2 linked regions of the Nothobranchius furzeri genome follow. The protein of the gene in region 1 purifies or fractionates together with the protein of each later gene. This does not show direct contact. Links are inferred from orthologs where the notes say so. Each region holds a gene or a part of one and is shown on either strand. Other genes may lie near its edges.

What was found. Proteins that work in one complex are often made in the same cells at the same time.
Region 2: the proteins of pdhb (region 1) and pdhx purify together in Homo sapiens (affinity purification with mass spectrometry; 4 studies listed by BioGRID and IntAct, counting the BioPlex papers as one, with this or other methods). This does not show direct contact. The link is inferred for Nothobranchius furzeri from reciprocal best matches to the Homo sapiens genes PDHB and PDHX.

What each region holds. Positions count from the first base shown.
Region 1 is NC_091743.1:78,896,813-78,900,468, reverse strand, and holds part of pdhb (pyruvate dehydrogenase E1 component subunit beta, mitochondrial), read left to right. Parts: coding exon 1-22; intron 23-95; coding exon 96-131; intron 132-1,398; coding exon 1,399-1,589; intron 1,590-3,656. UniProt on the Homo sapiens protein: The pyruvate dehydrogenase complex catalyzes the overall conversion of pyruvate to acetyl-CoA and CO(2), and thereby links the glycolytic pathway to the tricarboxylic cycle.
Region 2 is NC_091744.1:75,525,822-75,529,577, reverse strand, and holds the start of pdhx (pyruvate dehydrogenase protein X component, mitochondrial), read right to left. Parts: upstream 2,321-3,756; 5' UTR 2,274-2,320; coding exon 2,138-2,273; intron 1,281-2,137; coding exon 1,197-1,280; intron 1-1,196.

The sequences.
Region 1 (3,656 bases):
CATTGACACGCCCATTTCAGAGGTGAGAGCTTGCTGGGGTAAAATTTGACTTTGGTTAGCATGGATCCATCAGCTGGTTTCTGTCTCTGGTGCAGATGGGGTTCGCTGGGATTGCAGTGGGAGCTGCTATGGTGAGTTCCTGTCTTCACACAACACATAGACCACAAAACAACGTAAGGACAACCGAACCAAATCAAGTGTTAGGTTTAGGGTCGGCATCAGTGCCTCCATTTGGTTCATTATTAGATTTAGCTTTAACTGTGTCCAAATCATTTGGCGTCTGTTGTTTTAAACAGGAAGTGTGATGATTCAGTCACATCTAAACAAAGTAAGATGGTGTTAATTCTGCAACATCAACACATCTTTTAAGTTGATGAAAATCGAATAACTTATGATTCAATTCAATTCAGTTTATTTATAAAGCATCAAATCAGGACCAGAGTCGTCTCAAGGACCTTCACACAGTAAACATTCCAATAGAGGTCAGGCCATTAAGCCAATCAGTAAAACATTTCCTATATAAGGAACCCAGCAGGTTGCGTCGAGTCACTGACTAGTGTCAGAGTCTTTACAGCAATCCTCATACTAAGCAAGCATGCAGCAACAGTGGAGAGGAAAACTCCCTTTTAACAGGAAGAAACCTCCAGAGGTCGTGGCTCAGTATAAGCAGCCATCCACCACGACTCACTGGGGATGGAGAAGACAGAGCAGACACACACCCACACACACACACACAACATATACTAAGTAATGTTTCTATGGTTACATTGTGGTTTCTTAGTAAATATTCTATTTGGTGAAAGATAATCTTTATTGCATTTATCCTAGTGAATCTATAATTAAACGGGTAAACTAGTAGTAGCACATTCAATGTCAAAGAGAGTAAAATGTTATTATCAGGAGATGGAGAATGTTTAACCCTCCCACTGTCTTCATGGGTGACCCCGCGAGGAAAGTTGACCATTGAGCAGGATTGATGGTTTATCCCTTGAGGTCCACATGGCAGGGGTGAGGTGGTGCTCACTCCTCACCCCTGCCACATGGACCCAAGGTATAAACTATGAACCCTGCTCAATGGTCAACTTTCCTCGTGGGGTCACACCCATTAGGACAGTGGGAGGGCTTAGTATTATGAAGCATCTACATTGGTAAACATCAACAAGCTAGTACTACTCGTAGTAGTACTTGCACTCATCTTCTGCTTTTCTGGGTCAGCACCAAGAGGGCACAAGTGGGGACAGGGTCACAGAGCATTTGAGGAAGGAAGATGGACATGCTTCAGGGTTGAACCGGCAATCCTCTGGTTATGAGTGAATTCCTAACCCTGAGTCGCTGTCAAGAACCTTCCTCTGGTTTCTCCTCAATACTTGGAATAAACTCTGTGTTTGTTCCCTTTAGGCGGGTCTTAGACCCATTTGTGAGTTCATGACCTTTAACTTCTCCATGCAAGCCATTGATCAGGTCATCAACTCTGCAGCCAAAACCTACTACATGTCTGCTGGACTGCAGCCAGTTCCCATCGTCTTCAGAGGACCCAACGGAGCGTCGGCTGGTGTTGCTGCTCAGCACTCACAGTGCTTTGCTGCGTGGTACGTTCAAACACATGTTGCGTTGTAATGACAAGAAATTATGACTTTCAGGTTCTGAAGCTTGTAAATAATCAGGAGGTTGGATTTCATGTTCTTTCTCAGTGGCCAGGCCTCCAGAAGGTCTTTCAGCTTGTTGCTTAGCCTGGACTACAGGAACGTCTGACTGCTGGGTTCCTGGGGCCTCATTTCACCAAGTGAATTTCTCCACTGTGAGATTAATAAAGTCTAGTCTATTTCTCAACCGTACTTATGCACAGATACAGCGTGCGTCGTGTGTAGGAACTAATTTATGCATTGTGTGGTAGTCATCATTTTGTACTATTCGTGGCAATGTTCCTAAATATTGCCGGGTTTCACTCACGTGACGTCTGCAGCCATGCAAAACTCAAATGGGTCAGGAAGTGTTTTGCGCCGCAACAAAAGATACAACACGGCGCGATTGATGAAAGCGATTTTACTGAGCCTTTAATGAGCTGGCACAGACGTGAACAAATACATCTTCTTTGATGTTACGACCCATAAAGTTTTAAAAGTCACACTTTTCATCCACTGTGGAGGATTTACCCGGCGCTGAAGCGATCTGCCACAAACTACCGTGTGCTGCCTTCCTCATGTCTCACTGCAAACCAAACGAAAGCCTCTTACACGCCTGGAAGCCTGCAGCTGTTGTATTTCTGGTTGGTTAACCTTTTAGTGATCTGGAGAAGCTTTAGATGACCGTTGTCTTGTTTTTGCTCGGGTAAGTAGTGAGTTGCGCTGTTTTTTTTAACTCATGATAATAACGCTATCGCTAATGCTAACCATCAGTATTTGCTGGCATCTACTTGTAAGTAACTTTTTATGCTTTTTAAATCCAAATTTCTGGTACGTTTGATTTTAATAAGGTACAAATGCATTAAAACACTAAGCTAACTGCTAAAAACATTAGTACTCTGAAAGCTATTAGCAGTGAGGACATGTGAAAACAGTATAAAACTGTTAATCTGTGGTTTTTGTGGCTGTTTCTAAGCAACTGTGTAATAAAACACTCCGTAATCTCTCACCTGATAGAAAGTGATTTCTGTAGATAGAAAGTGATTTCTGTAAACTCCAGCATCGTCCGTTTTAGCTCCTGTTTTAAGCCGTAGATTACTGATCCACCTCTGCCGTCTTCTGTCAGTACATTACATTTAGTTATTATTTTTCAATTAAAGTATCTTTCCGGAGTTTTCCCCCTTTCAGAAATTATGTATGGTTTGTCAGAAATCCATAAAAGTGATTTATCATGTACTATGATATAATTTAAGCGATAAGTCTTTTTTTTTATTGCTAAGCACACCCCCTGCCCCGCAGAGCTCTGTGCAATAGGAAACTGAGCGCCCACCAGAAATAACCAATAACGTTAGACTTCCGCTTAGATGCTTCAGATGTAGGGAATACCTCGGCTGATGCAGAGTAAATGAACTTTTCACGTACAAGTAAGTCTCAATGGTAAAACAACGTGTTTTAGCTGTTTGTCGGCTACAGAAGCACTTTTATAAACAGAAACGTGAAGTCGCCATCTTTAAAAATGGATCCAGAGACTGTTTGTGCTATGCTTGTCAGCCACTAGATGGTGCCATCAGTTAATAGAAATACTCCAGAAAGAGACTTTTAAGTCTTTAGTGGCGCACTACATTTGGGACATGAAAATAATGTTTGTCCCAATTAGAGTGATCGTAATAACCGTAGACCTCACAGAATTTAGGCATTTAACGCCCAGTCACCAAAGTAAATAGTGTTTAGTGCAGCGCCAGCTACTTCCGGACCCACATCTGCCTTTGGTGATGTAGATGCAACGTCATGTAAAACCCACCAATAAAAACCGCTTGGACCATGAGTACGAACAGCATCTAGTGGTAGATTGTGGGAACAGCAGGAATGAAGGTCTCAGTCATCCACACATGTTCCACATCTAATTATTATTTTATCTAATAAATAATCAATCAATCAAAACTTTACAAAGCGCCTTCCGCAACCCTGTCAGGAAGCCCAAGGTGCTGAACATGGTACAGTAGAAAGTTAAATATAGTGAGTAAATCAGAAAAT
Region 2 (3,756 bases), on another chromosome or scaffold:
TCATCCCAAGTGCCGGTGCCTTCTTCCTATTTTAAACTGCACTTAGACACTGAGGGCTGTGGGTGCAAGTGGAGTGGTGTGGTGGCATCAGCTGGCGTAGGCCAGACGATGCCTGCACTGCCTGCTCACCACAGCCATTGAATACACCTCATCAACACGCACTAACACTATATTGGAGCAGGTGGAGGGTGACTAGGGGCCTTAGCACACCTCTGTTGTCGCTTGGCTTCCCGGGGAGGCAGTAAGTATGGACTTGGGCATGTTCAACACATGTCTTAAGGCTGTGGTTGGCACTAAATGCACTGTGATTTATTATCGTGTGATTGTTCAGTAAAACAATGTTCATTTTATATTTCCTCATCAGGTTGACACAGTGATAGCTTGCTCCTGTTGTGTTGTTGCGTGTCCCTTTTCTGCAGGTCTAGAAGCAGATCCCTGTTCATCATTGATTGTTTATTCCCCCTCCCCCTTCCTTGTCTCTTCCTTTCTCTTTCACCTATGTCTCTGTGTCTGGTCAGAATTACAAAGCATTCAAAAACAATAACAATAAAGTTTTAAGTATCAGGCGTGACATTAAAAGCAGATGCTTTGATGCTCCACCTGAGAGTAAATCTGTACGGCTTGTTACCAGCATTCAGACATCAATTATGTGTGCTTTACAGCCAGACAGGACCGGGGGTGGGTACAGGAAGGAAATGTTTTGAAGCATCCATTCTCATGATTTTCACATACACACAATTGTACAAATGGCAGAAACACATGGTAACACAGCTTGTAGCCATTGAGTTCCTCATGCTGCTTCTAGATAAGAGAACCACCTGGATGATTATCAGCAATTGTGATTTCTTGAGTTAATTAGCCAACAAGGCCCTCAGGTGATCTACAACTCAAGTCTCTGTCTTACAAAGCAATGAAATGTCATTGAGGGATTGATTTGTCCTGATGTTGGTCTGTAATTGTGGGAGGATAAGAAAAGTGGAGCTTCGGATTCAGTTTTGTCCAAATAGAAGCTGTTTGAGTCATGACTATAACATATTTATGTATAATTTACTAAGGTATAAAGCTGGTAAGCGAGAGAAATGACATTGATGTAGTCAAGTTTTCTGTAAAATCTAATGCAATTTTCAGAATTTTAAAATACTTATTACAAAAATACCCTAATTAAGAAACCCTTGATTAAACTTGTATCACTTTACCTTCTTTTTTCAGCCATTTGACTATGCTTCCCTCCTCCATGGTGGGAGAGAGAGCTGGCATTTGTACTTTGAGTGGGCTGACACCTAGAGGATGGAAGGAAGAAAACACAAAATGTATATTCAAAGACAAGAGTAATAAAATAAAAAATGAATAAATATAAAGAACCGTTTTTCTCAGTGCCAGTTATTGCAAACCCGTGATCGTAGTTGATGGCTGTCAAACAAGTTAACTAGTTACGAGACTAAAAAGGATAGTAGGTTTTCTAATATCCGTAACCCATAGAGGCCACACTGTCTAACATGGAGGGGGAGGGGAGTACTGTTAATACTTATCCATGGTACAAAATAAAATACAGAACAGGTTTTAAAAATACTGACAGTGAAATTGTTCCTAAGTGGTTTTCAGTTAAATAAAAAGGTCAGAAGTCTCTTCTGTTTCTAGTTAAAGGGGTGTATGCTGTCATTTGCTGGACACTTAAAGCTTTAGTTAATTTTCATGAAGATTGTGATTTTTTATCTGACATTTAAGAGTAAATATTAATTTTTTGTGGTTATTTTTGGTAAGCTGCAAGTCTTTTGCATGTCTATTTTGTCTTCGAGTCAGCATGTTGTCTAAATCATCCTTAATTGAATATCTAATATACACTTTCCTAAAAATTTACAGGAGATAAAATTCTTGGCCACAATATCATGGCCTCTTTTTATTTTTTAGTAGATATTTCAATTTTTGCGAAGCTTGGTTTGAATTGTTTTAGAAGTAACTCAACTCCTTCGTAGATATTAAACCAGATGAGCCAATCCGGAATCGTTTTGTAAAAAACGACGAGACTTAATGTCACACACGTAAATCCATCACAATTAAACATAACTGGGTGTAGCAAACGTCAGGTCAAAGGAGAGCTGTTCTCCCTTGATTAGCCGGTTTTAAAGCCAACACTCACCAAACATCCATGGCGACTGAAATACGTATCTCACGCGATCCTGCGAAGGGTGTCGAAGCCAAAAACTTTTGTTAAAATTAAGTAATTTGAGACCAGAAAAAATTCCTTGACGACCCAAACGCAAGGAGACCGCCATGTCTTTCTCCTCCGTCGTGAGAGGTGCCCTCACAAGTGCCTGTCCATAAAGCAGCGGAAAGCCAGGATGGAGCTTGCTTTTGTTTTCCAAATCTATCATTGTGAAATTATACAGTATAGAAAAGGTTCAAAGGCATAAAAAACGTTAGCACATTCCTTTTGGCAAGGCAAAAATAATATAAATAGCATTGTATTTGTAATTAAAAAGGCAAAAAACTACCTACATGTTTCGGGCTTTATTATTTGAACAAAAAACTTTATTGATCCAACACATTTGACAGAACAGTGAATAGAAAATTGATGGAAATTGGTGTCATTCAAAGAATTAATAAGTAAATATAAATAAAAATAAAGGAGCAAGTATTTTCAAATGGATCTGAGGACACAATATTTTTCTAAAGCAAAGCAAGGCAGCCTAAATAATATTTTACAAATAGAGGGGATTCGATTTGTGAACAGAACAGAATAGAATAGAATATCCCTTTATTCTATATAGTAGGGACATGTTTGTATCACAACAGCAACCACATTCACAATAAGAACAAATAAATAAATAAGAAATAGAAGGCTGTACTCTAAACAAAAACATGTTAAACACTATTGCAAGAAATATTTTAAAGAAGAATCAATGGAATTTACAAAATGTTTGAATTAAAAAATAAAATATTGTGAGAGAACAAGCAGATTATTGGAGTGATCAGTAGAGAAATGTGAAGATAGAACTACAACAGAACTGTGCAAATAACCAAGCAGCAGGGAGGCAAAAAGTTTTAGTGGGTTAGTTGGAAGCAGCACTGGTTGCAAATCCTAACTGCTGCTGGGCCTGGGAGGAAAAACCCATGACAACGTTCCTTCATGCCCATAGGATGCAGCAATCTGTCACAGAAGGAGCTCTTCTGATCCAAAACAGCATCATGCATGGGGTGGGAGACTATCGTCCAACAGTGATGCTATTTTTGCTAGAGTCCTTCTGTCTCCCATTATATGCACTGGATCAAGGGTACATCCCAAGACAGAGCTGCCCTTCTTAATGAGCTTATCTAATATCTCTCTGAGCCACATAAGACGTAAAATATAAGAATGTAAGAATTCCTTAATGTCATTATATACACATAAGTTGGCAGCTCTCAGCTTGCAGACACACATTTGTAGAATATAAAAGCAACAGTGGGCAAATCACAACAATATTGGTCAGTGCAAACACTGGTAAAAAAAAAAAATAGGGACCCTTAGTCATGCCCATCCACTTCTGGACCATGGGTCTCCAGAAGAACAAAAAAAAAAAGAGAGAATGCAAGTCAATCGGGTTAAAACTGTTATTTTCTAATTACACTTGTTCTGTTCCATGGATTTCACAGATGATGATTGTGCATTTTAAAGAACGGGCAAACATTATTTTAGGTTTTGTGTAAAACTATGTCCAGAACAACAAATGTGCATCACCAAAGTGACATCATCAAACCAGAAATGCCAGTACTTGGTAA